2 linked regions of the Macaca mulatta genome follow. The protein of the gene in region 2 interacts with the protein of the main gene of each other region in a pairwise test. Links are inferred from orthologs where the notes say so. Each region holds a gene or a part of one and is shown on either strand. Other genes may lie near its edges.

Region 1 (3,644 bases), on a different chromosome or scaffold from region 2:
ATGTATAAAAGCAAACTGTAACCCCACCACCTTGGACCTGGGGACCACTTACTCAAGGTTTCTTGGGTTTGTGTTTTCTCCAGGCTGTGGTCACTCATCCTGGCTCAGAATAAACCTCTTTAAAATGTTTTACAGAGTTTCGTTTTTTGGGGGTAACAGGGTGTGTGTATGTGTGTGTGTGTGTGTGTGTGTATGTGTGTGTGTGACATGGGGGCTTAAAGGTCTGCATTACCAAGGCCCTGGGAAGAACATGCTAGAGCCCTCCAAACAGCTTCCCCAGAGCATGGGAGAACTCCCCTCCACTGCAGGAGCCTCCAGCAGACCCAATGACCCTGCAGGCCAAGCCTTGGAAGTCATGCCGTCCGTGTACCTGCCGCGTGCTGCCGCTCTAGTTCTCATGCGGTGGAAACAATGATGGGAGGGGCACTCTGGCAGACAGGGTGTTCAGTGCCAGGGCAAGGAGGCTGTCTCCCTTCTGACAGGTGGGGCGTCCATAGGCTTGGTGAGGTGGGGAGGACTGAGGAATGAACAGGACCAGGCCAGGCAGAAAGGGGCGAAGGACCCATGGCCCGGGGTTCCCCCAGACACAGACCCCAAATGCAGGTGGTTTATTTGGAAGGCGATCCCAGGAGAAATCAGCAGGAGGTGGGGGAGGGAGGCAGGAAGCAAGGCCTCAGCTGAAAGGTGCCCTGCAAGCAGGTGAGCATGGTGGCACATGTCAGGAGTCAGGCAGGACAATGGGCTCAGAAGCCCTGACCTGGCTCAGGGCTGCTTCTGTATACCAGACTGTTTAGCAGAGAGCTGATAAGGCTGGAGCAATAATCCCTAAGCATTTGAGATACCTTAGGGGCAATGATGGAGTGCCAGGGGCGGGAGGAAAGCCTCAGGTGACATGTATGTTTGCAATCAGTGGTGAGCCCTGGCGAGGTTAGCATGGGGGTGTGGTAGGGCCCTGCCAGGGTCGGCCATGGTGCAGCTCAGGGAGAGAGGACCCATGGTGAAAGCCCTGCTGGTGGCTGGAGGGCAGGCCTGGCAGAGACACAGGAAGTGCTTCGAAGAGGGTGGAGGGGAAGTGGCTTGGGCCACTGAGGGCCATGACAGGTGTGCATGTGTGTGGGGTGCTGCTTGCCCATGAAGAACGAGCACTTCATTTCCTGGGGGCCCAGCCAGGCCATGCCACCAGCCCCTCTTACTATAGTCATGTACGGTCGCCCGCACGAAGCTGCCGTTGGCCTGGACTGAGGTCTCGTTGGGCCAGTGCTCCACCCGGAAGGTCTGCTGGGTCCAGGTGTCCCCGGGGAGCAGCGTGCTTGTGTACCGCCTCACCAGCTCCCCTGACGCAGGTACCACGTCTGCATCGAAGACACGCAGAGTGGCCACTACAGTGTCCTGCAGGATGCAGAGGGCGTTGGTCAGTGCAGGTGAGAGTGGCCCCTCAGACCCCCCAAAACCAGAGACCTCAGGATGCTGCACGTCCCACGCAGCCCACAGGTGGACCAGGTGTGCGTTGTCAGAGCCAGGTATGGGGACTGTCTGACCTAGATTCAAGTTCCCACGGGGTCACTGGCCAGCCTGGCCCAGTCACCTTCCTTGAGCCACTGACCCTCTGTGTAACAGGTGCAATGTAGACCTCTTATAGGGAGAATTACAGCTGATGCCCAGGCACCCTGCTGGCAGGTCCCATCAAGGTCCCTAGAGAGCAGAATGAGCACCTCCACTCTCCCCTGAGGAAGCTGGGCCCTACAGGGTGAAGGTCAGGTCAAGGTCACACAGGAACAGATAGCAGAGCCGAGATCCGAGGCCAGGTGTACATCAAAGCACTCTGCTCGAAGCATCCTCCTCCCCCAGGCTGGAGGGGGTTGTGAGGAAAGCCGCGGGGCACCTGGGATGGCTCTGCGCACCAGGCCTCTGCTGTCACCCCTAGGCGGCCCAGGGAGGCCCACACAGCCTTTACTCACAATGTGTACTTTCGGTCAGACCTCCTTTCCCTGCCAAACCTGCACGTGGTGTGCCCAGAGAAGCGGCACAAGGTAACGCACTACCTCAGTCCCCACGCCCACTCTCCCACGGCCCCGGCGGAGTGGGCCGGTTGCAGGAAGGCCTGAGGCTCAGCAGGTGGCGGTGGCGCTCCATCAGCGCGAACCGGAGAGGGGCGGGGCGGGGCCGGGCAGGCGGCGATCCGCCTTCCTGTCCCTTTCCAATCCCCGGCACCGCTCCTGGTCACTCAATGGCCCTCCCATTGGGGGCTGACTGCTGGTGGGAGGGAGTGCCCTCCCGGCAGATGCTCCCCGCCCGGGCAGCGCGCCGCGCCCGCCTGCAGCGGCACAAGTGTGCCCCAGTCGCGAGCCCTCGGGCCTCATCCTGGTCAGTCCCAGACTGGGCACCCAGGGTTCCCAGCCTCCCAAGGCAAGGCCCCGCTGGGTGCTGACAGGACTCCCCCTTCTCCTCCCCCTAGGACAGAGGGGGCCGACGGAGACGAAGGACAAATGAACGCGTGAATGGTCGGCCACATGATTGGGTGGCTACACGGACACTAAACTGACAGAGAAACGAACTGCGGCGGGAGACAGACACTGGGTAGACCACAGCACGCGCGAACAAGCACCTCCTTCCGCTTGAACTCCACCACGGCGCTGGCGGTGTCGACGCCCGCGGGGAATGTGGGCGCCGAGTCGTCCTCGTCGTACACGGTCACCGGGAAGGGCACCATTACCACCTCCTCGCGCGCGCCAGCGTGCACGGTGCACACGGCCACCAGCTCGTACTTCTCCCGCTGCTCGCGGTCCAGGGCCCAGCGCGTGCTCACCTCCAGGCTGTCCGGGGCGCAGCGGAAGGGCAGACCCTCACCTGCGCACCAAGCAGACAGGGGCCCCGCGTGATCGCCAGCCGGGACCGGGCCAGCCGCCTTTCTCGGGAAGGGGGCTCTGCGGTCAGAGCGGGGCGCACACCGCACGCCAGCCGAGGACCCAGGCCTCCCCTCCTCCGCTCCACAGGTGAGCGCAGCACTCCGAACACGAGTTTGCGCTTACGTCCTGCTGCAGCTGCGTCCTCACTCATGCTGGTGGGGAAGAGCGGGGACCAGCACCCTGAGCAACCGGTAGGGACTGGGACACCCCTCCGTCCACCCGGCCTCGATCGGAAGTGACCTTGTGTGGGGAAGGGTGGCTCCGGGTCAGATCAAGCTGCACTGCGGCCCTAGAGAGCCAGCTACTGGCCTTGGCTGCTTTTTTTTTTTTTTTTTTTTCTGACGGAGTCTCGTTCTGTTGCCCAGGCGGGAGTGCAGTGGCGCCATCTCGGCTCACGGCAATCTCTGCCTCCCGGGTTCAGGCGATTCTCCTGCCTCAGCCTCCCGAGTAGCTGGGACTACAGGCGTCCGCCACCACGCCCAGCTAATTTTTGTATTTTTAGTAGAGACGGGGTTTCACCATATTGGTGACCTTGGCTGCTTTTTAAAAAATGTTAGTTTTTTTTTTTCAATTATGTATATGTTCATTTTAGAGAACGTGAGAAATAAAGCCACGATTCTACCACTTGAAGACAAACACGGTGGACATCTGGGGTATGATGTGACATTAATGCATAATGATTTCTGACCGCCTAGTGTGCATCGCCACTCTACAACTCCTTGTCCAGTGCGTCGCCAG
Region 2 (4,273 bases):
ATCCAGGGACTGACTTCAACGCACAGTGGCTGTACTGATCCGCTAAAACAAAGGAACAAATTACTTCTTCTAATTCACAGGGAAGTTCCAGGTTGTACGGGTGGTGAGGAGCCTTGTGTCTGTCTGCGCTTGCCGTGGTGAAAAACCCACCGTTCAGGCTGCAGGGCGTGAAACCCAGGCACAAACACTTCGCTGGATGCGGAGGAAAGATGCAAGGTTGCTCCCCTTCAGAGACAGCAAAGGGCAGATCTGTAGCTCTACTTACTTCAGGATTATGATTTTTGACAGAGCCGGGAGATCAGGGTTGTTGAACCAGGCCTGAAGGTCCTAGTGAATCTCGTGAAGAGAGGAGGGGTCTGACTGTAACATGGACCTAGAGGACATTCTTACTGCAGGAGAAGCAACAGTGGGGATGGGGTGGACTTGCCAAAGGAATGTAGCTCAAGTTCCTGCAGCCTAAAGCAGCTCAGTTTCTTTCGGCCAAACTTTCGCGAACTTCCCTGGCATTTCTCCTGCGGGAGCTACCGGTGCAGTGGGACACTTAGCCTCTCTAAAAGCATCTCCACAGCTGTTTGTGTCAAGCCTTTATTCCAAGAGCCTCACTTTTGCGAAGTAACGTGCTTCACACATTGGCTTCAAAGTACCCACGGCCGGTTGCAGTAAACATTGAGGAGGCCTGTCTCTGCGCCCAAAGTTGGGTGCTCTCATTTCAGACGATTTCTAGGGTGCTTCACGGGATCTGAAGGACCCTCGGACTTTAGAGCACCACCTCGGACGCCTGGCACCCCTGCCGCGCGGGCACAGCGACCTCCTCAGCTGCCAGGCCAGCCTCTGATCCCCGCGAGGGTCCCTGGGTGCTGCAGGGGAGGTGGGGACCAGAATAAAGGAGCAGTTTCCCCGTCGGTGCCATTATTCGACGCTGGCTCTAGGGCTCGGCCAGTCTGTCTAAAGCTGGTAGAAGTTTGTTCTGTAAAACAAAAGAAGGGAAAGGGGGAAGGGGACCCTGGCACAGATTTGGCTCGACCTCGACATAGGCTGGGCCTGCAAGTCTGCGGGGACCCAGTCCAGAGGGGCAGTGCTGTGAACGCCCCTCACGGAAATTAACTCCTCAGGGCACCCGCTCCCCTCCCGCGCGCCACCCCCTTCCCGCGGGAGACCGGGTCCCGCGGGGGTCACCGCTGTCCACCGCCTCCGGCGGCCGCTGGCCTTGGGTCCCCGCGGCTGGTTCTCCTCCCTCCTCCTCTCATTCTCCTCCTCCTCTGCTCCTCCCGATCCCTCCTCCGCCGCCTGGTCCCTCCTCCTCCCGCCCTGCCTCCCCGCGCCCCGGCCCGCGCGAGCTAGACGTCCGGGCAGCCCCCGGCGCAGCGCGGCCGCAGCAGCCTCCGCCCCCGGCACGGTGTGCGCGCCCGCCGCGGCCAAAGCGGCCGGAGTCCCGAGCTAGCCCCGGCGGCCGCCGCCGCCCAGACCGGACGACAGGCCACCTCGTCGGCGTCCGCCCGAGTCCCCGCCTCGCCGCTAACGCCACAACCACCGCGCACGGCCGCCTGACTCCGTCCACTATTGATCCGGAGAGCCGGAGCTTGCTCTTCGGGGAGCAGCTATGCGACCCTCCGGGACGGCCGGGGCCGCGCTCCTGGCGCTGCTGGCTGCGCTCTGCCCCGCGAGTCGGGCTCTGGAGGAAAAGAAAGGTAAGGGCGTGTCTCGCCGGCTCCCGCGCTGCCCCCGGATCGCGCCCCGGACCCCGCAGCCAGCCCAGCCGCGCACCGGCGCACCGGCTCGGCGCCCGCGCCCCCGCCCGTCCTTTCCTGTTTCCTTGAGATCAGCTGCGCCGCCGGCCGGGACCGCGGGAGGAACGGGACGTTTCGTTCTTGGGCCAGGAGAGTCTGGGGCGGGCGGGGGAGGAGACGCGTGGGGCACTGGGCTGCGGGCCGGCGGGGAAACGGCCGCCTGGACCTCCGGCGCCCCGAACCGCTCCCAACTTTCCACCCTCACTTTCCCCGCCCCGCTGCGCGGAATCGGCGTCAGTGGGCGAAAGCCCCGTGCGGGTGGGTGCCTGGGGCCGGGGTCCCGCACGTGCGCCCCGCGCTGTCTTCCCAGGGCGCGGCGGGGTCGCGGCGCGCACCCGAGGGACTGGCGCTGCCCACCCGCCGAGGCTGCGCTGTTTAGGGAAGCTGAGGAAGGACCCCGAAAATAAAGCCTCCCTTCGGACCCCGCGGGACAGGCGGCTTCCTGAGCGAACCTCCCTGCCTCCGCGCTCCGCGCAGGTCTCAAACTGAAGCCGGAGCCGGCCAGCCTGACCCCGGCCCCTCTCCAGGTCCCCGCGATCCTCGTTCCCAGGTGTGGAGTCGCAGCCTCAACCTGGGAGCTGGGAGAAGTCCGCCACCACCTGCGGCGCCTGGGAAGGGGTGGTGCTGGCGGCGGTTAACTTCCTCGTTGGCAAAAGGCAGGTGGGGTCCGACCCGCCCCTTGGGCGCAGACCCCGGCCGCTCGCCTCACCCGGCGCGCCCTCGTCTTGCCGGTCCAGGTATGCCCCCCACCTCCTGGGGACCCGAGCTCCCTCCCGGGCGCCGGCGCAGAAAGGCCCGGGCTCTCGTTCGGTGGCCGCCTCGCGGGGACGTCCGGGTCTGCCCCACCTGCAGCCCTTCGGTCGCGCCTGGGCTTCGCGGTGGAGGGGGACGCGGCTGTCCGGCCACTGCTGGGGGGATCGCGGCCTCTAGTGCGGAAGCCCAGGAAGCAGAGCTCATCCTGGCCAGCACCACGGTGTTTCAAAATGGGGCTCACAGCAAAGTTTTCTCCTCAAAACCCGGAGAGTTTCTTTCTTGGATGTTTCTTTTTGCTGTCTGAAGAATTTGACATTGAGCCAACCAAAATATTAAACCTGTCTTACACACACACACACACACACACACACACACACACACACACACCGGATTGATGTCCCTGGTTCAAGTGTGCCAAGTGTCCAGACAGAACATGAGCGAGTCTGGCTTCGTGACTACTGACCATAAACCCACTTGACACGGGAAACATGCCTCGGAAGGTTTAATTGCACAATTCCAACCTTGAGCTGCGCGGGTTCCAAGAGCCAGGCCCGTACTTGCTGTTGATGTCACTGGCATGGGGAGTTGGGGTTTGGTGCCCAGCGCGGTCGTTGGGGGAGGGGCAAGACATAGAACAGTGGTTCCCAGACCTTGCTGCACGTTAGAATTACCTGGGATTAAAAAAAAAAAAAATCAAAACAAAAACCAGTGTCTGAATCCCGCCCCCAGACATTCTGATTTAATTGGCATGGGGCAAGACCTGGACATGGGATTTTTTTTTTAATGCTTTTCATGTGATCTGTTGGGGAGCCAGGTTTGGGGATCACCGGACGGAAGAAGGATTGTTAAAGTCTCCGGAGAGATTACTTGCCAATGCAAAGAGCTCTTTGAGGACATCTGGAATTTTAACAATGTTGCCAAATATAGGAAAGAGGGAAAAGGTGGGGTGTGGTTCCAATAATAAAAGATTCCTCTTTTCATTGAAGGAACTGGTGGAAAGGTTTCTTCTCTGCTGAGCTTGCAGGGCCCCTCCTGCCTGCTTGGGGGCTGACTGCGGGTCCTGTTAGTCAGGTGTCAGCCCTGTCTCTGCTGAAGAGACTCTTCTCTTTATTTTAAATTAAACCCTCAGAGCACCTCCAAAGCATCACTTTTCTCCCTCCAGTGGGGTTCTCATTCTTTGATGTTACTTGCTTGAACACCACTGTTAGTGATTGGAGATTTGTTCCTGAGAAAAATATAAATACCACTTAATTTGCCTGTTTATCCCGTATTCACTCAAAACAGAAACTCCTGAAGACAGAGAGAGTAGGTGAACAGGCGCTATTCTGTTACAGTAACATAAAAGACTGAATTTTCAGGGGCAAATTATTAAAGTAGGAGATGAGCTCTTTTAACAGAAATTTGTTTGAGACCTGTGTCTATCAAATTCAGTCGATTTTATTCAAGATGCACTTTGTTTAGTAAGGGTTTTGTTTGGTTCTGGGACATGCTAACTTCTGGACTTGCTGCTCTTAGACGTAATGACTGCCAGACACCGTTTCATGCGTCCTAATCCCCACATTAAGCATAAGAGGTGTACACTCTCCTCCTATGGGGGAAACTGAGGTACAAAGAACTAAAGTGACTTTCCCACCGCTGGTAGGAGGCAGATGTGAAACTCACACCAGGGGCTTCCGACTCCAGATCCCTCTCTCAACTTCCAAACTCCACTGCCTTGTCCGAGTTCAGGTTTC

The links. The genes of interacting proteins can lie anywhere in the genome.
Region 1: the proteins of EGFR (region 2) and RET interact in a protein complementation assay, tested with the Homo sapiens proteins (3 studies listed by BioGRID and IntAct, with this or other methods). The link is inferred for Macaca mulatta from reciprocal best matches to the Homo sapiens genes EGFR and RET.

The regions. Positions count from the first base shown.
Region 1 is NC_133414.1:55,566,690-55,570,333, reverse strand, and holds part of RET (proto-oncogene tyrosine-protein kinase receptor Ret), read right to left. Parts: intron 2,848-3,644; coding exon 2,606-2,847; intron 1,390-2,605; coding exon 1,194-1,389; intron 1-1,193. UniProt on the Homo sapiens protein: Receptor tyrosine-protein kinase involved in numerous cellular mechanisms including cell proliferation, neuronal navigation, cell migration, and cell differentiation in response to glia cell line-derived growth family factors (GDNF, NRTN, ARTN, PSPN and GDF15).
Region 2 is NC_133408.1:73,467,981-73,472,253, reverse strand, and holds the start of EGFR (epidermal growth factor receptor), read left to right. Parts: upstream 1-1,339; 5' UTR 1,340-1,600; coding exon 1,601-1,688; intron 1,689-1,827; exon of another isoform or gene 1,828-1,883; intron 1,884-2,239; exon of another isoform or gene 2,240-2,379; intron 2,380-4,273. UniProt on the Homo sapiens protein: Receptor tyrosine kinase binding ligands of the EGF family and activating several signaling cascades to convert extracellular cues into appropriate cellular responses.